Callithrix jacchus: one gene and its partners. The protein of the gene in region 3 interacts with the protein of the main gene of each other region in a biochemical or structural test. Links are inferred from orthologs where the notes say so. Each region holds a gene or a part of one and is shown on either strand. Other genes may lie near its edges.

Region 1 (3,500 bases), on a different chromosome or scaffold from region 3:
TACCATTAATTTCTGTGGTTTATTATGTACCTTGTAGAAATTTTAAAATTAGTGTCTTCATTGTGACTTAAATCTGTGTTTAATGTTACGTAACTGTAAACTTTACAGCACGTTCAGCGTCTTTGTGTTATAGGCACTGCCTTCCATAGAGCAGGTACTTAACAAATACTACTGTGGACATGAATGAAGACAGTGAATCACCTTCATCTCAATGTATGAAGAAAGTCAGTTTTAAAGGTGCATATCACAGCTGTGACAGTGTCATTAGATCTGGGCAAAATGCCACAATTAGCTGCCACTTTACCTCTGCTTTACGAATATTTTCTCTAGCTTCATCTATTTTCTGTTCCAGCTCTGCTCGGCTTTGTTCTGATACAGCAACTCCATGACACTCCAGATCATTTAGAACCTATTAAAGAAAATGGGACAATAATGATGACTGTTTTTTACTTTTCATCTTCCTTAAGTGACTATTTAGGTAATTCAGAAGGCTTTAGTGACTAGTAACCGTATATTTTTTTCATTTATTTATTTTTGAACATTTTGAAATAATTATAGACTTACTAGTAGCAAAATTACTGCAAAGAGTCCCTTCAGTGGGGAAGCCTGTGAGATAACCAGGACCAGCCACTATCTGATTGCTGCCACATAAGAGATCCCAAGGGAAAACTGCTAAGCTGAGGCCACCCCATACTCAGATTAGTGAGACATAATCATAATGTAAAAACCCTCTTGTTTGAGGTGGTTTGTTAAGCAGCATTACATAAGTGCTACATTGCATCTGAGATGCCTGTCAGATAGTGAAAAGAAGATGTCAAAACAGGCAAGATACTATATGGATATATAGCAGTAGCAAGGCCCAATGTTGGAGATATTAATTTATGATTTGTTGGTAAAGCAAAACCATGGAAGTGATCGAGACTGCATATATGAGGGTAAAGAATAAGAAAACAAGATAACCAAGTACAGAAATCTGAGAAACTGAATATTTAATTGTTGGATGGAGAAAGAGGAACCTATAAAAAAAAATCTAAGTATGGCCAGAAAGGCAGAAGGAAAGCCAGGACAAAGCCAGGTTGAATCGTGGATGACTAGAGAAGATATCATTTTAAGACAAAGAGAGTTGTCAATTGTGATGAAACTGCTGACAGATTAAGAAATATGAGAAATCAAAGTGTCCATTTTGAAGCTAGCAACACAGAATTCATTGGTGATTTCGGTAAGCTTAGATTATGAAGCAGTATAGGGGAAGGAAAGGAAAGGAAAGCTCAAATGTAATGGGGTGAAAAGAAAGTGGGCGGTGAGATTCTATAGAATAAGCATAGGCAATTCTTTTAGGAAGTAGGATGTGAAGGCAAAGAATGAGAAGGATATAGGTATCAATAAATGAAATAGAGAAAAAAAGTACTATGCTTAAAATAATTTCTTTGTGCTTAGAGTTTAGTCTTAGAGATATATTTTCTTTCTTTGTTTTGTTTTCTTTTTTTTTTTTTTTTTGAGACAGGGTCTTGCTCTGTCACTCAGGCTGGAGTGCAGTGGCATGATCTTATCTCACTGTAACCTCCAACATTCTGGGCTCAAGAATCCTCCCCAACCTCAACCTGCTGAGTAGGTGGGAAGGTAGGTGTGTGCCACCATGCCTGGCTAATTTTTAAATTTTTTTTTGTAGAGACCGGGTTTTTGCCATGTTGCCTAGGCTGGTCTCAAATTCCTGGCTCAAGCAATCCACCTGCCTCAGCCTCCCAAAGTTCTGGGATTACAGGCATGAGCCACTGTGCCCAGCCAAACATATATTCTCATAAAACCTATAATTGTGTCTTCAAAAAATATGTTTTGAGGGACAAAAACCTACATTCAACATATGTCTCTTCCCCTGCCCATAATACACTATCACAGCTTTTCTTTGGCAATTTTATGGTAAACAGGTGAATAATTGTATTGCTGATGGAGGGCTTAAGGATATCCAACATGAGTAGAGTTGCCAGCATACTGCCGAGTGTTGACAAAACTCATATAATGCTTGAGCAAAGAAGTTTGAGACTAGCCTGGGAAACATGGCAAGATCCTATCTCTACAAAACACCTGAAAACAATTAGCTAGGCATGGTAGCATGTGCCTGTGGTCCCAGCTACTTGGGAGGCTTAAGTGTGAGGACTGCTTCTGCCCAGGAGGTTGAAGCTGCAGTAAGCCATGTTCACTCCACTGCCTTTCAACCTGGGTGACAGAGCAAGACTCTGTCTCAAAAACAACAACAACAACAACAACAAAACACATATAGGGTATTTTTCACATTTAATAAAGCTCAGCTTCTTTTTTTTTTTTTTGAGACGGAGTTTTGCTCTTGTTACCCAGGCTGGAGTGCAATGGCGGGCTCACCGCAACCTCCACCTCCTGGGTTCAGGCAATTTTCCTGACTCAGCCTCCCGAATAGCCAGGATTACAGGCGTGCACCACCACGCCCAGCTAATTTTTTGTATTTTTAGTAGAGACGGGGTTTCACCATGGTGACCAGGATGGTCCGGATCTCTTGACCTCGTGATCCACCCGTCTCGGCCTCCCAAAGTGCTGGGATTACAGGCTTGTGCCACCACACCAGCCTAAAATTGAGCTTCTTAAACTGGTTTGACATTTGGCTTAAGGTGGACGTAACTAGGACTTTCTCTTATACTTACCCGTTGTTGGTGAACAATGTTTTTATGCTCACGTGCCACACGTGTGGCCCATTTTCGAGCTTCCTTGTTTAGACTGTGCTCCTCTGTGGTCCCAGTTTCTGATTCTAATTGTCGGCTCTACAACACAAGAGAGAACAAAGATAAAAATACTGCTAACCTTATTACAACCACTACTGCTTTGTAGATGGACCAGAGGGCCTTCACTTAATCAGCACTCAAAACATGAGGCATGCTCCACTACTGCTGGAAGCAATGTCTTAATGTCACAGAAAGTTACCAGAAGAGTAAGATGACAGTAAGAAACCATTAAAGACCAATAAGCTTTTTGTCTTATACTGTTGAACACAAAAGCATAATTTCTAATACTGTGGACTTACCCTTTTGGGTGTGATGGAATTATCTTTCTGAAGGGGAAGGAAGCTAGTTAAGGTAAGCAAAGAAGAAAAAAGTATTCATGCCAATCTACTATGATGCTAAAATCATTGCATAAATAAAAATGGAAACAATCTAATAGTTTCAATGTGAGTAAAGAATCATTAAAGAGAAGTAAGAACAAAACAATAAAATAACAGCAACACAATCCTGTACCACCCCACTGCCCCAGGATACTGGATTTCATCAAGTTAGAGGTCCATCATCAACCTGCCACCAAACTTCAAGCCAACTTTTGCCCTTTCTCTAGGATTTAATGTATACATATGAAAGATAAGGGTGCTAGATCAAATGATCACCAAGGGTTTCTTCTAGCTCTAAAATGCTATAATTCTGATTTACAAAGAACAAACCGCAAAATCTAAACAATAGTAATAGCTAACTCCTATTGTGCAA
Region 2 (4,259 bases), on a different chromosome or scaffold from region 3:
AAGCTGTTTACTTCTCAAGGACCCAATTAAAGATATTTTGTTTTTCGAGCCTGAACTGAGGACACTACAGGGGCCAAATGAGAGAAGGGGCTTGCAGTCCTGCCGCACTGAATATTCATGGCTGTGCCCCCACCCCAATATAATCCATTTCGCCAGGTTAACAACTCACTCATTTCAAAGCGATTCATTTGCCAACTCAAAAAAACACAGATACAACTTTAAATGCTTTCGGATTTTAATCCTCTGGAGTATTTATATGTGTTCTTGTCTCATCCCTCCAAAACTAATCCCAGAGTTTTGAGAATCTGGGAACTTGGGAAAAGGAGAAAACAAGCAGCAGACCAAGGAATCTGAAATGGTAGTTCATGACGTCAGCCGAAACTGACAGTACCTTTGTGTTGGTACTGACCTAGCTCAAATTACAAAATCACAAGAGTAATAAAACACAAAATACAGGTGTTATCACTGACAAGTCTAAAATGTAATTAAGCATGTTTTTTTTCCCCTCGCAGTCGTACCGTTTGCTCTGTATCTCAACGTTTCTGTCTCCCTAAGCCTCTCCCTTTATCATGAGCACACACCGTTGCATCTTGCTCACACATTCATTAGCTGGGACTGAGGAGTGAATACGATGCCAGCGGGTCCTCAGCGTTAGCTGTTAGATGCACAAACCTTCGCATCCTTTCCACTTCCACTGCACTTGAGGTTCAACAGAAGATCCCTGCAAGAACAGCGCCCAGAGAGCATTCTGAACAGATGCGCCCTTGGCTCCAGCAACCCGCTCTGCTGGGAAGTTTCCTCTAACCACTAACACCCACCTCTGATCCCCCAAGCTGTCACGACACAGGCTGGCTGGGTCGCCTCTTGACGGGGGAAGGGTTTTACACACACCCTGCTAGGCTGCCCCATGCCACAACCAAGCTCGCAGGGCAAACTCCTTCATGCCCGGCGGGCAAGCAGTCCCAGGCGCTCTGGCGCTTCCAGAACACCAAGGTCCCCTCCTCGCTCCAAGGAGCGAGCGCTCTCTGCCGCAGGGAACCCCCAGGACTGCAGGTCGAGGGGATGCTGGGGAAGCAGGGGCGCAGGAGGGAGCCTGGCGCGGGAGGCAAACGGGGCGCAGCAGCGGCTGCGGGAGCACTTGGGGGCCGCGGGAGGGGGCGGGGCCCCTCGGGGGAGCCGGGCGCGGGAGGGGGTGCGCGGAACAGGGACCTGGAACCAGCGGGCGCAGGAAGGGGCGCGTCCGCAGGAACCCGCGGGCCGCACGGGAGGCACTAGCTCCGCGATCAGCTCCGGACTCTCAGGAGCGGCTCAATTGCCAACTGGAGTGGGGTGCGGGGAGTTGGGGGGGGCAGACCCGACGGGGGCGTGCCTTTGCCCCGATTGGCTACAGGAACCTGACGCGAGGCCCCGGGGGTTGGCTTGGGGAGGTGGGAGCGGGGTGGGGTGGGTGCTGGGTGCCGGAGCTGCGGGCCCGGCGCGCTCAGAAACATGCTGAGGTCCCGGCGGCTCTTCCAGCAGCGGCAGCGGCGGCGGCGGCGGCGGCGACAGCGACAGCGCTCGGATCCGGCGGGAAAGGCGCCCGGCGCCCATGCCTCCGGCCCCGCGCCGTGGCTGTCCTGACCCGGCCGCGACCTCCCTCGGCGCACCCCGCCGCCCGGGCTCCTGGGGTGTTCCCTAGCCACTGCCCAGCCCCGCCACACCCACCGCCCCCGGCCTCCGCAGCTCGGCATGGGCGCGGGGGCGCTCGTCCTGGGCGCCTCCGATCCCGCCAACCTGTCGTCGGCTGCGCCGCTCCCCGACGGCGCGGCCACTGCGGCGCGGTTGCTGGTGCCCGCGTCGCCGCCCGCCTCGCTGCTGCCTCCCGCCAGCGAAGGCCTCGAGCCGCTGTCGCAGCAGTGGACGGCGGGTATGGGCCTGCTGATGGCGCTTATCGTGCTGCTCATCGTGGCGGGCAACGTGCTGGTGATTGTGGCCATCGCCAAGACGCCGCGGCTGCAGACGCTCACCAACCTCTTCATCATGTCCTTGGCCAGCGCCGACCTGGTCATGGGGCTGCTGGTGGTGCCGTTCGGGGCCACCATCGTGGTGTGGGGCGGCTGGGAGTACGGCTCCTTCTTCTGCGAGCTGTGGACCTCGGTAGACGTGCTGTGCGTGACGGCCAGCATCGAGACCCTGTGTGTCATCGCCCTGGACCGCTACCTCGCCATCACGTCGCCCTTCCGCTACCAGAGCCTGCTGACGCGCGCGCGGGCAAGGGGCCTCGTGTGCACCGTGTGGGCCATCTCGGCGCTGGTGTCCTTCTTGCCCATCCTCATGCACTGGTGGCGGGCGGAGAGCGACGAGGCGCGCCGCTGCTACAACGACCCCAAGTGCTGCGACTTCGTCACCAACCGGGCCTACGCCATCGCCTCGTCCGTGGTCTCCTTCTACGTGCCCCTATGCATCATGGCCTTCGTGTACCTGCGGGTGTTCCGCGAGGCCCAGAAGCAGGTGAAGAAGATCGACAGCTGCGAGCGCCGGTTCCTCGGCGGCCCGGAGCGGCCGCCCTCACCCGCCCCCGCGCCCGCGCCGCCGTCAGCGCCAGGACCCCCGCGCCCCAACGCCGCCGCCGCCGCCGCCCCCCTGGCCAACGGGCGCGCGGGCAAGCGGCGGCCCTCGCGCCTCGTGGCCCTGCGCGAGCAGAAGGCGCTCAAGACGCTGGGCATCATCATGGGAGTGTTCACGCTCTGCTGGCTGCCCTTCTTCCTGGCCAACGTGGTGAAGGCCTTCCACCGCGAGCTGGTGCCTGATCGCCTCTTCGTCTTCTTCAACTGGCTGGGCTACGCCAACTCGGCCTTCAACCCCATCATATACTGCCGCAGCCCGGACTTCCGCAAGGCCTTCCAGCGCCTGCTCCGCTGCGCGCGCAGGGCCGCCAGCCGGCGCCACGCGGCCCACGGGGACCGGCCGCGCGCCTCGGGCTGCCTGGCCCGGCCCGGTCCTCCGCCGTCGCCCGGGGCCGCGTCGGACGACGACGACGACGATGTCGTCGGGGCCACGCCGCCCGCGCGCCTGCTGGAGCCCTGGGCCGGCTGCAACGGCGGGGCGGCGGCGGACAGCGACTCGAGCCTGGACGAGCCGTGCCGCCCCGGCTTCGCCTCGGAATCCAAGGTGTAGGGGCCCGGCGCCCCGGAACGGCTTCCCGGGGGATCTCGGAGATCTGTGTTTACTCAAGACCGAAAGCAGGTGAACTCGAAGCCCACAAACCTCGTCTGAATCATCCAAGGCAAACAGAAAAGCCACGGACCGTTGCACAAAAAGGAAAGTTTGGGGAGGGGTGGGAGAGTGGCTTGCTGATGTTCCTTGGGTTGTTTTCCTTCTTCTTCTGTTTGTGGTCCGGCCTTCTTTTGTGTGTGCCTGTGATGCATCTTTAGATTTTTCCCCCCAGGTGGTTTTTGACTCCACGAGGATGGGAGTGGAAGCTGGGTGGGCAGGGGAAGGGAGAAGAAGCATTAGGAGGGGATTAAAATCCGATCAACCTGGCTCCCGACCCTGTCCCAGGAACAGGGGCAGTCTACCAGCCAGAGAGAGGAGAATGACAGTTTATCAAGGCATATTTATTTCCTTTTGCTTTCCAGAGAAATTTCATTTTAATTCCTAAGTAATGGTTTCCGCTGTTATGAAAGCGAAAAGGATGGATGCAAAAAAAAAAAAAAAATCACGTTTCAAGAAATGTTAAGCTCTTCTTGGAACAAGCCCCAATTTGCTTTCCTTGTGTAGGGCAAACCCTCTGATCCCCCGCGCGCCTGGATGGTCAGGCTACGGGATTTCTACCTCACACTGTGCATTTGCACAGCAGATAGAAAGACTTGTTTATATTAAACAGCTTATTTATGTATCAATACTAGTTGGAAGGACCAGGCGCAGAGCCTCTCTCTGTGACATGTGACTCTTGTCAATTTAAGACAGGACATGAAAAGAGAGAGAGAGACAGTTTTGATTACTGCACATGTGGATAAAAACAAAAACAAAAAAAGGAGTGGTTCAAAATGCCATTTTTGCACAGTGTTAGGAATTACAAATTCCACAGAAAACATTACTTGCACAAAAAGAAGTTAAATATTTTTTAACTGGGGAAGTGGTGGGCAGATCTTAAAAACTAAAATAAAATTCAAGCTCTACTTCTGTTGTCTAGTATGTTATAGAGCTAATGATTTATTGGGAAAATACCTTTTTATACTCCTTTATCATGGTACTGTAACTGTATCCATATTATAAAT
Region 3 (3,500 bases):
GTAAAGAGTAATAAAATGTGCATAAATGTGAAATCTTCTGATCTTCCCTCCCTTGTTAAACATTGAAAAAGGAAGTCAGTTGTATAATTTCAAAACTCTGCTCATGTCTTTATTAAGTTAACATTCTCAGCACAAAATATGCTAATGTATTTTTTTAAATTACATAAACTGCCAGGCACATTTTCACATTTTCTAACTTAGCCTATAATAAAAGTGAAAAGCTCTAACACCCAAACACCGCTTTTCAGCCTTCCCAAAAACATGTTAAATTTCATTTCTATGTGCTTTTATTTGTTCATTCATTCACTCCCTCAACAAAAATTTTTGGAGCATATGAAATGTACCAGACCATATTCTAGATGCTAGATATACATAGAAAAATTCCCATGGAACTAACATTCTAGTGGTTTTATGTACCTGCATAGGCAGTGCCCTTCATGCATAGGAGTGGGGGACAGTAGGAAAAATAGGTAAGATGCATATTCTTTTGGAAGGTGGTAAGAGCTAAGGACAAAAATAAAGCAGGAAAAAGGGATTGGGACCGTTGGAGGTACTGCAATTTTTAGTAAGGTGGTTAGGGAAGGTCTTTCTGGAAAGGTAATGGCTGTTGATGATATCTCTGCATAACAAAAATGTGTTTCCTTTCAAAGTCCTGGAATGCCCTAGTAGCCCCTACTGCAAGAGTGTAGGCCACTTACCCTCCTCCTCCTAAAGTAAATTTGGGGGTTATCTTACCAATTTCCATCTGATAATTGTCTTGGCAGTGGTCTCCCCAAAGCTCTTGGTGGAAGTGACACCACCCTCCCAGTGCCTTGGTAGATGACTGCATGGCGAATCCTTCTAAGTCTTGCCTTTCTTTCACTACTGTGACAGGGCTGTAGTTTGTCAAGCTTCCAACAAGCTTTGGGACTGGGCTAAAGAGCAGGTTAGCGAAAGGACCTCTGATTGCAGGCAATTTAAAAGAGCCTTTTTTGCAAGAGCCAGAAACTTTTTAAATATGCAATTAAAAATTGTATGCATGCCCAGAGACCTTTTAAGGCCTTTTAGATATAACTAACCAAAATAACTTTTCTTCCTAGGTCCCAGGCTCCTACTGCAGGGGTGTAGGGGACTAATGTCTCCTTCTTTCTCTCTTTTTGTTTTGGATAACATTTTTGAATAGAAAAGAAACAGGGCAGGTGGAGAAGCTGTGTGTGGCAAGGACAGGGTATAAGAAGTAAGTAAAGTTAGGAGAGATGAAAGAATCTGCTCATGAAATTAGGTCTACTACTTGGGATAATCAGAGAAGTTCCAGTAAATTTCTCAGTTACAGATATGTGCCTAGTAAATCCCAAAAGAAAACATTTTGGTTTATGTTCAAAATGTTATTTGTGAATGTATCAAGAAAACTCAATAAAACCTTCGGTTTCATGTTTGGAAATTATTTAGCTGTATCTCTATCTGTTAATTTAATTTATTTTGTTTATTTACTTTTTGAGATAGAGTTTTGCTCTTGTTGCCCAGGCTGGAGTACAATACCGAGACTTGGCTCACTGCAACCTCCACCTCCTGGGTTCAAGTGATTCTCTTGCCTTCGCCTCCCAAGTAGCTGGGTTTACAGGCACTCACCAGCTCACCTAGCTAATTTTTTTTTTTTTTTTCAGTAGAGATGGGGTTTTACCATGTTGCCCAGTTTGGTCTCAAATTCCTGACCTCAGGTGGTCCCCCTGCTTTGACCACCCAAAGTGCTATGATTACAGGCATAAGCCACCATGCCCAGCCTAATATATTTTAAATAAGACAGCTGAATTTGGAGCTGTATAGCTACTGTTAGTAACTACTTTAGGATTTCGGGGTTGTTTATTTTGTTTGGTTTTGTTTGATTTGGTTTGGTTGTTTTTCGGTCTTTCTTTCTCTTTCTTTCTTTCTTTCTTTTCTTTCTTTCTTTCTTTCTTCTTTTTTCCTCCTTCCTTCTTTCTTTCTCTTTCTCTCTCTTTCTCTTTCTTTCTTCTTCCTTCCTTCCTTCCTTCTTTTCTTTCGTTTTCTCTCCTTCCTTCCTTCCTTCCTTCCTTCCTTCCTTCCTTCCTTCCTTCCCTCCCTCCCTCCCTCCCTCCCTCCCTCCCTCCCTCCCTCCCTCCCTCCCTCCCCCCTCCCTTCCCTTTCTTTCCTTTCTTCTCTGTCACCCAGGCTGGAGTGTAATGGTGCCATCTTAGCTTACTGAAACCTCCACCTCCTGGGTTCAAGCAATTCTCCTGCCTCAACCTCCTGAGTAGCTGGGATTACAGGCACCTGCCACCATGCCCAGCTAAGTTTTGTATTTTTAGTAGAAATGAGATTTCACCATGTTTGCCAGGCTGGTCTTGAATTCCTGACTTCGTGATCTGCCCACCTTGGCTTCCCAGAGTGCTGGGATTACATGAGCCGGTTTGTGTTTTTTAAACAAATATCCAAAGCTTGTTATAAACACTAAATCTTAGCCATGGACATGTGTTGGCTGTTTCACAAATTTAATAAAAGGTACAAATTAATAGGAAAAAATCAATAGAATTTAGAATTCAATTCAAAGTGATGACCCTTAATTTTGAAAATAGTCATTCTACATTTTTCTCGAATTATTATTTGTGACCATACTGTGTTTTCTGGTATTATCTGTGCATTTTTAGCCTGGATTTTCTGTTTGATTAAAACTAAAGGTTTTGCTGCTCAGTTGGTTTTTCAAGTGGAAGCGAGGCCCAAAGCAGCACATTGGAAGCCATATTGCAAAATAAAAGATAAAACAAAACAAAAGACATAAAACAGACCAATTCCATTTTCTGTGAAGGAGCTTATGACAGCTCAATTCCTGTCAAACTGCATGAATGGAAACCAAGAGGTGTGTCACCTGACAGGGTCTAATATCATCCCTCTCTTGTAGTTTCTTTTAGACCCTGGAGTTGACATACCTCTCTCCTTCAACAGTGGGGCCTAGGAACATCCTAATTCCTGAAATTAAGAGAGGACTTTCTTAAGATGCTATGTGCCCAAAGGCTCTAGAGCATAAGCTTGAAGAATGATCTATATGTTGTCTCAAATCTTGTTTAATTCTCCTTTTCACTGATGGTGACATTCTTTATGCTTTTCTTGTTTTAATGCAGGCAAACCCTTTTTTACACGAAACCCTTCTGAGTTGAAAGGCAAATTCATTCACACGAAGCTGCGGAAAAGCAGTCGTGGCTTTGGCTTCACTGTGGTTGGAGGGGATGAACCTGATGAGTTTCTCCAGATCAAGAGCTTGGTCCTAGATGGTCCTGCTGCATTGGATGGCAAGATGGAAACAGGTAGCGTCCACATGGCCTTAGTGTATTCTGTGTGGTAAGACTCCAACCCAGAACACAAATGTGTGCAATCATGTTGTTTGGTTTGAGCAAGACCAAACAATGTCGTGATTGCACATGTTTATACCTTAAAACACCTTGAGAATGAGCCAGTAAATCCATCCCTTGGGACAGATTAAAACCTGTGAAATCATTTTAACTTTGGGA
Region 4 (4,252 bases), on a different chromosome or scaffold from region 3:
TGATTGGTTAGTTCAGATGAGCTCTGATTGTTCAATTCGGGTCAACTGTGACAATCCCAAAGGCCTGTGGGTGAGTGAGAGCAGGTGTGACCTCTAGTCAGCAGATAGCCCTTGGCCCTGTTTAAAATTTAGGCCCAGTTAGCCACTTGGGATCTGCCTTGAGGAATTGCTCTTTCAGGTTTATTTTTGCTCATAATCTAAATATCTGCATCCTATGAAGCTCTGTCTGGGTGGAGACCGACTCCCCAAATATTAAGAACATTTCTGTATTCTTACACTCTAACTGCTACAAAGCAATATTTTCTTCTTTAATTTTTGGAGACGGATGGGGAAGGTAGAACAGAAGTGGTTCTTCACTAAGGTCATCTTACTCCCTAATTTCTTACTCATTTCAAAATTAAAACATTTCCCCCTCATGTTATAAAAGGTACTGCAAGTTCAGTATGTCCTTATTAAAAAAAATTAAATGCAAAAAATAAAAATGTTGAATACCGAAAGTCTAACCATTTAGAGACATTTTAATACATTGACTTTTCCTTTGTATAATCTCTTGTCATTTATAACTTTGAATATACTGAATATACCTCTATGCTTCATGTTTTTATTTCAAATTACAGTATACCATTCTATTACACACTTCACACTTCATTTTTGTTGGCTGAAAATATTCTTCTCAGTAGATAAGCTGAGTTAGCAATTTCCCTATCATTGTTTATTTAGGATGTCTTAAATGTTTATATTATAAACAACATCATTAATAGCTTCATCTTTATATAATTTTAATTTTTAGTATAAATTTCTAGAAGTGGAATTATAGTGCCAAAGGAGAAGCTATTTTTAAAGTCTTTGACACATATTAAGCAATATTTAAAATCAAAGAATGTGTGATTTAACCATTTTTTTTTTACTTGAGGTAGTCCTTTATGTTGTGTCTTTTGATGACTTTTTACAAGCAGAGGATGAAGTCACTTCATTCTGTTTTGCTAGGGAGAGACTGTGTCTTCCTTATTGGAAGACATGAGGGCTCATAGTTAGATTTTGCTGGTTTCCTAGAGACAGCCCTGGGGAACATACCTGCATAATCTTTGGTAATTGGAAATATATTTCATATGGCCACGTGCACAATAATTTAGTGTGTATATGGCCAATAAACGAGCCTTGTTTACAGGTCATTACTTTCAATCTCCCTTCTCCCCAAATGCTGAGAAAGAACTGGTGACTTAAAATGCTTCCAGTCCCTTTGCCTTGGCCTGTAGTGAAAGTCCTAATGGACAATGAAGGAGGAACCGGACCTTGGGGACTGAGGGATGCGGTAAAGAGTTAAGGGTAAGTTTTCCTAGATTTTTCTCGTGGCAGGTGTATCCCGGTAGCGGCGGAGGGGCGGGACTTCACGTCTCCTAGGAACCGCTGCGCGCTCACTGATTGGCTGATCGCTGCGCAGCCGCCATTTTCAAATCCCCGGATGACGGCGGTGGCGGCGGCTGTGCGCTGACAGGCGCTTTCTGCCTGGCAGAGGCTGGCGGGCATCGTGCCCGTCCCTGCCGGTCTCCCGGGCACCCGGCCACCGCCCCACCCCCCTCCTCTGTGCCATGGAGCCCGAGCTGGCGGCTCAGAAGCAGCCTCGGCCGCGGAGGCGAAGCCGCCGGGCCTCTGGGCTCAGCACGGAGGGAGCGGCGGGGCCTTCAGCCGACACCTCCGGGCCGGAGCCGGACGGGAGGTGAGTGTGGGGGAGGGGAAGGCCGGACGGGAGGCGAGGGCAGGGGCGAGGTGAGGGCCGGCCGGGAGTTGGGTGTGGGGGTGGTGAGGGGCAGGGGGAGGCGAGGGCCGCTGGAAGGTGAGGGGGGAAATGGGGAGGTGAATGCAGCGTGTGTGTCGGGGTACCTGGGCCGCTGGAGGGAAGGGTGGCCCAGGCCTGAGTGACGGTGTGCCTGGTCTTGGACTGAGATGGGACCTGAGACCCCAAATTGCGATTTCCCTGCCCGGTGGGAAAGGGACTGCCTTGAGTCTCCTCTCCTCCTGACTGCTCCTCTGGGGAGACGGGGAACGCCACAATGGTTTTGTTCTCCACACACAACTGGCTGTAGGCTGGAGTTCCCAGGTACCTTTGCTCAGACCGAAACTGTCAGGGAGCATCACGAGAATGGGCTCCATGTCCTGAGAAAGGAAAGGCTAGGGGATGAGTTGGCTTCGGAATATGGGTCATGAGGTGCCTATGGGAGAGTTCGTCACAACCAGCCTCGTGTTTTTTCTTTTTGCTTTTGTGGAAGTACACATTGAAGTGAGACTGTATGACTCGTGTTTGGCTCAGTGAAATTTCGCAGAGCGAACCCACCTGTGTAAATCAGTTATACATCTGGGAATTGTCAGCAAAAGACTTGAAATCGAAGGTCATCTTAGACTGTGAGTATAAAGGACGAAGGGTTTGAGGACCAAACCCTGAGGCTCTCCCGGCGTTTAAAAGCCGAGGTAATAATGCTGGAGGTAGCTGTTGAGTTAGGAGGAAGAAATCAAGTGAGAATAGGATCCAGGAGGCCAAATGGAGAAAGGATTCCGAGAAAGAGGACGTGGGGAGCTGTGTCAGGTGTTCCTGATAGGTCAAATAAAAGGATTAAGTAAAAATGAGGATTAGGCTAGATGAGGAATTGAAATTAAATTTGGTAATGAAAAGAGAGTATTGATTGTAGATGGTTTCCAAGAGTGGTTAGAATATCGAACTTAGAGTGCTTTGCAACAGGTTGAGAAGAGAATGTTCGATTTGTTCAGGAAATAATGCGAGTGCCGACACTAGGAATATGGAAATGGAAAATACTGTTCTTACTATTTAAGATTTATAATCTAGTGGGAAGAAAGATAAGTAGGTTAATTATTATAACGTGTTTTAAGAGTTATTGTAGTGGTGTACACAGAATGCGGTACATTAGAGAGAACACTTAATCCTGGCTGGAGAGAACAGGAAATGATTTCCTATTGCAATCCCTGAGTTTGAGGACCAGTTTAGAGAGCAGATGTAAATGGGTGATTTTCAGGCAGAGAAGCAGCTTGTAGAAAGGCCCTGAAGCAAATGGGTCTGATGAGTTCTGGGTGTATATTCTGTTTTATTACTGTATTAATACTAGTTGTATAGAGGAGGGAGACCAATATAGGGATAAGGAGGAGGTAGTCATGAGCGATTATGCTAAAGAGGTGAAAGCCACATCAGGAAGGGGCCTTGTATGCCATCACAGAGTTTGGGGGTTTATCTTCACGGTAATGCGGAAATACTGAAAGGCTTTAAACAAGCCAATGGCATGATGTATTTGCATTTTAAAAGATCAGTTTGTCTTCCATGAGAAAAATAAGCAACATTTTGGAGTCATCTCACCATTCATATTTTACGAAAACTGTTCCCCAAAAACATGCTCATATACATACAAATTTCAGGAGATTTGTGGATCCAGCTGTGTATACCAAATAAAAATTTTCAAGTTTAGAAGGTGAATTGGTAGGAAATCAGTCTGCAGTAGTCTAAATGAAAAAATGACTGTTCAAATCTGATAGCTGGCAGTGGGATTGGTGAAGAGAAGTTTCACTGTGATACCCCTGTGCCATTACCATACTGTATCGATTACTGTTGCTTTGTATAATAAGTTTTGAAATTGGGAAATATGAGTCCTCCTACTTTGTTCTTTTTTTCTCAAGATTGTTGTGGCTATCCTGGGTCTCCTGCAATTCTATGTGAATTTTAGAATCAGCTTAACAGTTTTTACAAAAGAATCCAATGGGATTCTAATAGGGATTGCATTACATCTTGTAGATCATTTTCAAATGTATTCCCCTCTACACAGGGTTAAGTAGTCTCATCCATGGACAAAGGATGTTTTTCCAATTATTTAGATCTTTAATTATTTTCAACAGTGTTTTGTAATTTTCAGGGTATAGTTTTGCACATTTTGCTAAATGTATTCCTATTTTGTTCTTTTTGATGCTGTTGTAAATGGAATTAATTTCTTTTGAAATGGGAAAAGTTCCCTTGTCCCCCTTGCAGGGCATGCACTGGGGGTATGCTCGCTGCTTCAGTGCCCTGCTGTTCAAACCTCTAGGGGAACAAATATACAAGCAGGCAGTAGGACTCCAACCCCATGGGGGTGTCTGGGGGTGAATGTTTACAGCTGAAGCCCCAGTGGGCGTTTGTTACAGGGTACTCTTAGTTTAGCCATCTATAGGTGGCTTGTGTTCATCAGCTCAATTAGACCCCGGCCTCATTGCAAGGACA
Region 5 (4,201 bases), on a different chromosome or scaffold from region 3:
CCTCCTAAAATGACTCCAGCCCCAAATGAAGGCCAGTGGACCCATGAACATGCTGGCTCTTGCCCACTGTGCTGAGAAGTGGGTGGGAGGGAGTAGTAGGGTGGGCATAGCAGTGCACAGGATGCAGGGCAGGTGGGTTCAGTTTGATTTCAAAGCCGATTGCCCGCGCCTCAGGTGCTTTGGTGTACCCTATAAGGATTGCATAGGCCAGGCAGCCTAGGCTCTGCGGGTGAAGATTTCTCTACCTCCCAGTGACTCCTCTTCTCCCTTATCAGCTCTGATAGGAGAGAGGAAGAGGGAAGAGGACGTCAAAAGTTCTGTTCATCCGGAAGGGCTGGGAGTTACTTCCTGGGATGGGGAGCTCGTGAGCCAATCCAGAAGACGACCACGGGGTCTGGCGGGAGCCCCAACGCTGCCCTGAAGACTCGGCCGGGAGGGGGCGCTGTGGCCTCCCCACCCCCAGCCCGCAGGCTCCTAGCCGGGTTCGCCGCGCTGCAACGCAATCCGCACCTGGCTTTACCCAGGGCTGCGTTCAGTGCCCACTTGTCCTGCAGGGCACCGCCGTCTCCCTTTCATCTTGGGGCTCCCGGGTCCAAAAGGTTCCCAGATCCAGCCCCTTGCCTGAACCAAAGTGGGCAGGCACTCAGATTGTAAGATGAACGAATGAACGAAGGAACGAACTAATGAATAAGGGCTCATCCTGCAGAACGTTCGCGTCTCAGCGCGCACTAGGCACGTCAATGCCAAAGGTGCTGGGAGTCGGGCTCGGAGCCCGGCGCGGCTGGAGTGGGGGCGGCGAGGAGCTCCCGCTAGCCAGCTGCAGGGCGGGAACTGCCCAAACGCAGGTCGCAGCTTCCCCGGGTTCTGCGGCGGCTTCGCTCAGTGGGGACCGCCCTGTTCCACCGCCACCAATAGCCTCGCCCTCATAAATTCACCTGAGCACCCCCGCCCAAGTGCCCCCGGCTCCCCTGGACTTCCCAGGCCCGGACCTCTGCCCGGCGGGAGGTAGGAGGCTGCATCCTCTCCTGCCACCCCCTCGCCCATCCCGGGCTTCTCCCCGGGCTGCGGCGGCCGCCACCGCCGCAAGCACGCCCGGAGGACTGCCGCAAACCCGGGCGTAGGGAAAGGGGATCCTGGCGGCGGGGCGCAGGCGGCGGGCCAGGGGAAGAGGAGGGAGCGGGGAAGGAGCCGAGGGGCGAGGGGCAGGGAGGGAGCCGAGGGGCGAGGCGCGGAGGAGGGACCGAAGGGGAGGAGAGAGGAGGGGAGGGGAGAGGGAGAGGGAGAGGGAGAGGGAGAGGGAGAGGGAGAGGGAGAGGGAGAGGGAGAGGGAGAGGCGGGGGGGAGGGGGAGGGGAAAGGGGAGGGAGGGGACAAGCTGGGCGAGGGGGCGGGGAGCCAAGGCGAGGAGCCGCGCGGACCTTGCGGGAGGCGGCAGGGGCTAGGCTGGCAAGAAGCGGCCTCCCGCCGGGCTGAGTCGGGAAACGGCGGCCAGACTTCCCCGGGAAGGGGCGAGCGAGAGCCGGCCGGGCCGGGCTGCGGGGACGGGGAGCGCGGAACCGGGCGCCTCCTCACGGGGCAGCCACCGAGGAGTCCGGCCGCCCACCGCGTGCTGCCCGAGCCCGCAGCAGCCCGCCGGCCCCTCTGGGATGCCTGGGGGACCCGGGCGTTCAGGACAGTAACCGAGCGAGCCGGAGGATGGGACGGCACCCGCAGCTCCGGCTTGTCAAGGTAAGAGCCCGCCGGCCCGCCCTCCAGCGCGAGCGCCCCCAGCCCCGGGCAGACGCGGGACAGGCCGGGCTGTGGGTGCGATGGAGGAGGGGGCGCCAGGAGAGCGGCAGTCAGGTCGGGGAAGGCTGGGCTCTGGGGCAGCCTAACTCTCTGGACCTTTGGAGCCAGGGTTTGGTGGGCAGGGGGAGACTCAGGTGAGAAAAGAAATCGTGGCTGAGCCGCCGGGATGTTGGCGGAGGAGGGGTCTGCCCACTCGGGTAGCCGTTTCCGCGCCAAGAATCGCTCTAGGCTTTGGGGCAGACGCTGGGTTCCGCCTCCCACGCCCTCCCTGCAGACCCCGGCCCCAGGACGGGAGGCTCTGAAGCGGGGTTCCCCGCCTCGCCCCAGCACCTTCTCATAGCTCCCCGACTCCGCCCGCCCCCGCCCCAGTCCCGGGAGCGCATCCTGCTCCTTCTCCTCGGCTGCAAGCTGCGAGTCCAGGGAGATTAATGCGGCCCGCGCCTGCGAACCCTTGATCAATATCGCAGTCTCGGGGGAGGGGACCGTGCCTCCGGCGGCGGTTACCATTCCCTCGCCGCGGCCCGGGAGCGCAACACTCGCTCTCCGAGCCTGGGCACCGAGATCCCCGCGCTGCGCAGCCTACCCTGCGACGCGGATCGGTCGCTGGAGTTTAGGAAAGTCGCCAGACCTTACGTCCAGCGTCTGCCCGCTGAACTTCGTGGGCGGCGGGGGCGGCCCAAGGGCCGTGTGCGCCCGGGAAGGGCCGGGAGGCCGGCAGTCCGGCCCGCCCCTAGTGCCAGGCGTCACTTGCAGCCCCGAGCGCTTTCCACAGCGTTCTGGTCTTGCAAGGTGTAGGCGCGCCCGCTGCAGCCGGCCGGAGGGGCGGGTGGGCCTCTGCGCGGCTGCCGGGAAACCCCGTGCCGCACCCGCCTGGGCACGGCCTCGCCCGGGGCTCGGGATCCCTCAGGGTCCGCTTCAGCCACAGACGTAGACGCCAGCCTGACCCGGTTCGGGGCATTCAAAGCGATTACATTAAAGAGACTTTGGTGGATTTGGGGGAGGGGTGCGGATTGGCGGAATTTCATTTTTCCATCAGTTATTAAACCAACTGTACGTATAGCGGCTTACCAAGTGGTTTGAGTTAAAGCACCAAGATTTTTTAATGAGACGTTACAAGTTACTGAGATTTTTCTCTAATCCTGCCCCTCCCCAGATATTTATAAGTTGATTCTTGAAATGACTGAGGGTTGGTCTCATTGAACCCACATCCCCTCCCCTGTCTGTTACCTGAGGGCTAGAGATGAACTCAGAGATTATTTTCTGGGCGTTCAAGGAGACAGACGGATGAGGAAGGTGAAGAAAAACATCCAGAGAGGTCGAATAGGTGGCACTGAATGGGAATATTTTCCAAAAGTCTTGTGTGTATCGAAGCCTGGTCTAAATGCACAAACCAGTTAGACCAAATTCAGTCTTTTGAACGGATTCAAAGGATTGAAATGTGGGTGTTTTTGTTTTTTTTTTTTTTCCAGTTTACACTGAAATAGATCAATGTTCTTTTTCTGGCCTTCTTTAGAGTTGTGTGCAAATCTCTGTTTAGAATGATCATGTTTTTCTTTAAAAAAAAAAAAAGGGGAGTCTTTTTATTTCTGTTATTCCTACCAGATAGTGGGGTGTGTGCTCTTTATGACTGGCCTAATAAACTCAGTCAGCACTCAGTAAATACCAAATGAATGAGGCTGAGCCAGGGAATGGCCAGCGAATGCTGGTTTCAAAGCTGGTTTCTATTAAATAGTTGCTTTTTTCTTTTACTTATGTAGCATGTACAATTCACTGGGCATTATTCTACCTGCTTTGCAAATATTAAGTCATTGAGTCCTCCTAACAGCCCTAGAAAGTAGGAATTATTCCTGAGACACAGAGAGGCTAAGTAACTGGTTCAGGGTCACAGAGCCAGTGAATAGTGAAGTCAGAATTCAAACCTGGGCACTCTGATATAAGGCTTTGTTTTGTTTGCTTTTACCAGAAAATATCTTTTTTTTTTTCTTTTTTTTGGGATAGGGTCTCACTCTGTCACCCAGGTTGGAGTGCAGTGGTGTGATCTCAGCTCACTGAAGCCTCAACCTCCCTGGGCTCCAGTAATCCTCCCACCTCAACCTCCAGAATAGCTGGAACCATAGGCATGCACCACCACACCCAGCTAATTTTTGTATTTTTTATAGAAGTGGGGTTTCACCATATTGCCCAGGCTGGTCTCCAAACTCCTGGGCTCAAGCGATCAGCCAACCTCGGACTCCCAAAATTCTAGGATTACAGACGCGAGCCACTGTGCCCAGCCATTACCAGAAAATATGTTAAGCCCCTTAAACCTCACCCTAGATCTTAGCCAGATGAGAGCCCAGGTAGTTTTGCCAGCATGAGAGTATAAATCTAGGGACTTAGTGTTCATCCCAAATCCAGCGCTGTCCCCAGCAAGT
Region 6 (4,201 bases), on a different chromosome or scaffold from region 3:
ATGATTTGCCTATCTTGGCCTCTCAAAGTGCTGGAATTACAGGTGTGAGCCACTGTGCCAGCCAATTGGGCTTTTATTGGAGGAGAATGAATATCTATGGTGATTGCTTGTAGAATTAAATGTTGTTTCAAGCTTTTTGCCCCCTAAAGATGAGAATGATAATATAATATGTGTAGACTGTGAGTTCCGTGAGTTCTAATTGAGATAAATAAAATATTAGAAATAGGATCCCAGGCCCAGGAAGAACCTTGTCTTCAGAGGAGCAACCTTGGTCCCAGCCCCTCTCCACAGCTGCATGAAGAAGCTGCACAGAAAACCCTCACCCTCACCCCCAGTTCTGGAGTGTGAAGGTAAGATCTACATCGTCCTGGTGATAGTCATTGTTGGAGAACTCTGGGACATGCAGGAAATAGATCCAGGGCCTCTTCCTTTTTATTGACACAGCAGCAGCAGTTTGGAGCTTTCCAGGAAGACCTACTTTTTATTTCCCCCAAGTTTCAATATTTGGGGCACTTGTGGGAACTAGAGATGGGGTGAGGTTTGGCTCTTGGCACTAGGCTAGAGTTGGGCTTGAAAGGGATGGGGAAGGGCGCTAGAATCAGTGGTCTTCAGAGTTGAAGGAGATCTTGGGTGAGGGGATAGCAAGAACCAGGGCCTGTCTTTCCCATGGCCATGGGGCAGCAGAAGGCACAAGGAGAACAGCGTATGTAGGGCTGTGTTGGAGATGGTTAGGGAGCTCTCCAGACCCTGCTCTGGGTTCCAGGCCTGGTGTGACAGTGACTAGCTGTGTGCCATGACCACGCTGCTCAACAAGTCTGTGCCTCTGTTTCTTCATGGGTGTCATGAAGGGACTGGACTCCCTGTTTGTTTAGGTCTGTTCAGTTCCAGCGAACGAACTACAAACAAGCAAAAAAACCAAGCCTGCCTTGTTTATTTTCAAGAAAGCATTTGCTAATTTCTTTCCAATACAGCCAGTTCCCTTATTTACCATTTTGTGCTCCTCTCAGGCCCCAAAATAGTGCTTTTTATTTTTAGAGATAAGCAAATAGTTCAGTTTGACTGGAGCATGGGAAGAAAGTGGGAAAGCAACTGATAGGAATAGAACTTGAAAGGAAATCTGGGGTTGGACTATGAAGGCCAAATTACTCCTAGACGTGGGCATAAGAACACATTGTCCTGGTGCCATTCTTTGACCAGAGAGAACTAGCCCCTTGGGACAGAAAAGGGCTGAATGAGGACCAGACACAGATTAGAGCTCTCCCTGATCCTCATCCAACCCCTTTCTTGACCCGAGGGGGCTGGGAGTCTGTGGGGCTAAGGGACACTTCCTTGTTTGTACTGTGCTCTGGATACTTGGGAAGTCCCCAGCCAAATGTCCTCAAATGCTATGAGCTGTTCCCTAGTTGCATCAGAGCATAAAGTTTGTATAGCCCTACGTCCTACAGGTGGCCAAGAGCAGCTGCTTTCAGGCATTGGGGACAAGGACATGAGGGCTAGAATTCCCCATGCCTAAGTGTGGAGCTCCTCATACGTGGGAGGGAGCTGGGAGTGGGAAGAGGACGAGGACAGCTGCAGGCTTTACCAGCTCTTCTGAGGTGGCCACATTCCAGCCCAGACCTCAAACACAAAGGAGTCTGAGAAGTGAGTACAAATGTATAGTATGGGGATCTGACAATTTAGAAATGAATATTTAATGCTACAAAAAAGTAGTGATGGTGGGCAGGGCATGGTGGCTCAGGCCTATAATCCTAGCACTTTGGAAGGGTGAGGTGGGCAGATTAAAAGGTCACGAGTTTGAGACCAGCCTGGCCAATATGGTGAAACCCCGTCTCTACTAAAAATACAAAAATTAGCTGGGCATGGTGGCGCGTGCCTGTAGTCCCCGCTACTCAGGAGGCTGAGGCAGGAGAACTGCTGGAACCCAGGAGGTGGAGGTTGCCGTGAGCTGAGATCGTGCCACTGCACTCCAGCCTGGGCAACAGAGCAAGACTCCATCTCGGGGGAAAAAAAAAAAAGAGTAGTGCTAGTGATAAGCTCTACAAAACAGACTACAGCAGAGTTAGGGGGAGTATATGTGTGGATAACTATTTTAGAAAGGGAGGCCAGTGAAGTCTTGTGGGAGGTAGTGGCCCTTAAGTAGAGAGTTAAGTGGAGTGAGGAAGACAGGGCAAAGGCATCTCAGCACAGGGACTTGGACCAGCAGCAGGGAAGGCCATGTGGCTAGGGTCATACATGCATAAGAAGGGCCAATCAGGTTGGGCTTTTGCAGATCATGGTAAAGATTTTTATTTTGAATAATGTGTGTGCTCCTTTTTACCAGCCATGAATGCTATCCATTTGTTTATGTGATTAACTCATCAAAGTTTATAAAAGTTATTTATTACTCTTTAAGGAAGAGAGGTGTTTATTTTGAGAATCGTGGGAAGTCACTGCAGGGTTTTTAAGCAAGGGAATGAACGATATGACCTGCTCTTTAAAAGCATCACTGTAGCGCAGTAGAGCAGTGAGAGTAGAAACAGGAAAGCAATTAGGGTGTTACTGTAGCGTTCTTTTTCCTTTTTCTTTTCTTTTGAGACAGAGTCTCACCCTGTCCCCCAGGCTAAAATGCAGTGGCACGATCTCGACTCATTGCGACCTCTGCCTCCCGGGTCTAGCAATTCTCCTGCCTCAGCCTCCCAAGTAGCTGTTATTACAGGCACCTGCCACCTTGCCCATCTAATTTTTGTATTTTTAGTAGAGATGAGATTTCACCATCTTGGTCAGCCTGGTCTCAAACTCCTGACCTCAGGTGATCCACGGACCTCAGCCTCCCAAAGTACTGGGATTACAGGCTGTGCCTGGCCCTCTTTTTCTTTTTTTTTTTTTTTGCTTTTAATATTGATGTCAGTATTTCTTTTTTTTTTTTTTTAATTTTTATTTATTTATTTATTTATTTTTTTTTAGGGAAAAAGAGAAAAAGAAGGGGAAAAAAAGAAAAAGAGGGAAAAAGGAATATTACTTCATTCCTAAAATGGGTTTCAATAATGGCCGATCAATATTTTGAGTGTTTAAAGTGGTTAATGCATATTTTATGTGTTTAAAATGGAGACCTCTGTTGTGTTTATTTGTTCTGGTTCTGAGTTCAAGTCCTGGATATCTTATCAATTTGTTGTCTCGTTGAATCTAAATCTCATTATGTGTCTTATGTATCTGGGTGTTAAGATCTCTTATTGTTGTATTAATCCTTTTACCCTTGCATCCTTGTAGCTTTGAAATCTATTTTATTAAGTGTGAGAATTGCAACTCCTGCTTTTTATTTATTTATTTTTGCTCTCCATTTGGTTGGTGAGCTTTTTTCCATCCCCTTGTTTTGAGTCTTTGTATATCTTTAGATATATCGTTAGATTTTGTGGATAATGAATATTTTGTGTGTTTAAAATGGAGAGCCCTATTGAGTTTATTTGTTCTGGATCTTAGTTCCAGTCCCGGATATCGTTATCAATTTTCTGTCTCGTTGAATCTAAATCTCATTATGGGTCTTATGTATCTGGGTGTTAAGATCTCTTATTATTACATTAATCCTTTTATCCTTGTATCCTTGTAGCTTTGAAATCTATTTTGTCAAATGTGAAAATTGCAACTCCTGCTTATTTATTTATTTTTGCTCTCCATTTGGTTGGTACGTTTTTTTTTTTTCCAACCCTTTATTTTGAGTCTATGTATATCTTTGGATATACCGTTAGATTTTGTCTGTATCTTTTGATTGGGAGGTTTGGTCGATTTAAATTTAGGGTTGCTGCCGTTTGATATTAACTGGCTATTTTGTCCTTTCATTGATAAAAATTCTTCTTTATGTTAATGCTCTTTACTTTTTGGTGTATTTTTAGAAAGGGTCATACTGGTTGTTCCTTTCTGTGTATAGTGCTTCTTTTAGAAGTTCTTGTAAAGCAGGCCTGGTGGTAATAAAATCTCTGAGTACTTGCTTGTTCCTAAAAATTTTTATTTTTCCTTCAAATGTAAAGCTTAAATTGGCAGGATATGAAATTCTGGGCTGAAAGTTCTGTTGATTAAGTATATTGAATATTGGCCCCCACTCTCTTCTAGCTTGTAGGGTTTCCGTTGAGAGATCTGCTGTAAGCCTAATAGGCTTACCTTTATGGGTAACTTGATCTTTCTCTCTGGCTGCCCTTAATATTTTCTCCTTCGTTTCGATCTTGGTGAA

The links.
Region 1: the proteins of MAGI1 (region 3) and FCHSD2 form a complex in vitro, tested with the Homo sapiens proteins (2 studies listed by BioGRID and IntAct, with this or other methods). The link is inferred for Callithrix jacchus from reciprocal best matches to the Homo sapiens genes MAGI1 and FCHSD2.
Region 2: the proteins of MAGI1 (region 3) and ADRB1 interact in a test that uses a peptide from one of them, tested with the Homo sapiens proteins (2 studies listed by IntAct). The link is inferred for Callithrix jacchus from reciprocal best matches to the Homo sapiens genes MAGI1 and ADRB1.
Region 4: the proteins of MAGI1 (region 3) and NET1 form a complex in vitro, tested with the Homo sapiens proteins (3 studies listed by BioGRID and IntAct, with this or other methods). The link is inferred for Callithrix jacchus from reciprocal best matches to the Homo sapiens genes MAGI1 and NET1.
Region 5: the proteins of MAGI1 (region 3) and CRHR1 form a complex in vitro, tested with the Homo sapiens proteins (2 studies listed by BioGRID and IntAct, with this or other methods). The link is inferred for Callithrix jacchus from reciprocal best matches to the Homo sapiens genes MAGI1 and CRHR1.
Region 6: the proteins of MAGI1 (region 3) and CYSLTR2 interact in a test that uses a peptide from one of them, tested with the Homo sapiens proteins (2 studies listed by IntAct, with this or other methods). The link is inferred for Callithrix jacchus from reciprocal best matches to the Homo sapiens genes MAGI1 and CYSLTR2.

Annotation. Positions count from the first base shown.
Region 1 is NC_133511.1:68,060,848-68,064,347, reverse strand, and holds part of FCHSD2 (F-BAR and double SH3 domains protein 2), read right to left. Parts: intron 2,790-3,500; coding exon 2,673-2,789; intron 410-2,672; coding exon 305-409; intron 1-304. UniProt on the Homo sapiens protein: Adapter protein that plays a role in endocytosis via clathrin-coated pits. Contributes to the internalization of cell surface receptors, such as integrin ITGB1 and transferrin receptor.
Region 2 is NC_133513.1:106,982,712-106,986,970, forward strand, and holds the start of ADRB1 (beta-1 adrenergic receptor), read left to right. Parts: upstream 1-1,459; 5' UTR 1,460-1,728; coding exon 1,729-3,156; 3' UTR 3,157-4,259. UniProt on the Homo sapiens protein: Beta-adrenergic receptors mediate the catecholamine-induced activation of adenylate cyclase through the action of G proteins. This receptor binds epinephrine and norepinephrine with approximately equal affinity.
Region 3 is NC_133516.1:47,220,106-47,223,605, reverse strand, and holds part of MAGI1 (membrane-associated guanylate kinase, WW and PDZ domain-containing protein 1), read left to right. Parts: intron 1-3,113; coding exon 3,114-3,296; intron 3,297-3,500. UniProt on the Homo sapiens protein: Plays a role in coupling actin fibers to cell junctions in endothelial cells, via its interaction with AMOTL2 and CDH5. May regulate acid-induced ASIC3 currents by modulating its expression at the cell surface.
Region 4 is NC_133508.1:8,367,048-8,371,299, reverse strand, and holds the start of NET1 (neuroepithelial cell-transforming gene 1 protein), read left to right. Parts: upstream 1-1,452; 5' UTR 1,453-1,589; coding exon 1,590-1,717; intron 1,718-4,252. UniProt on the Homo sapiens protein: Acts as a guanine nucleotide exchange factor (GEF) for RhoA GTPase. May be involved in activation of the SAPK/JNK pathway Stimulates genotoxic stress-induced RHOB activity in breast cancer cells leading to their cell death.
Region 5 is NC_133506.1:86,534,854-86,539,054, forward strand, and holds the start of CRHR1 (corticotropin-releasing factor receptor 1), read left to right. Parts: upstream 1-1,401; 5' UTR 1,402-1,694; coding exon 1,695-1,727; intron 1,728-4,201.
Region 6 is NC_133502.1:67,304,573-67,308,773, reverse strand, and holds the start of CYSLTR2 (cysteinyl leukotriene receptor 2), read left to right. Parts: upstream 1-1,401; 5' UTR 1,402-1,641; intron 1,642-4,201. UniProt on the Homo sapiens protein: Receptor for cysteinyl leukotrienes. The response is mediated via a G-protein that activates a phosphatidylinositol-calcium second messenger system.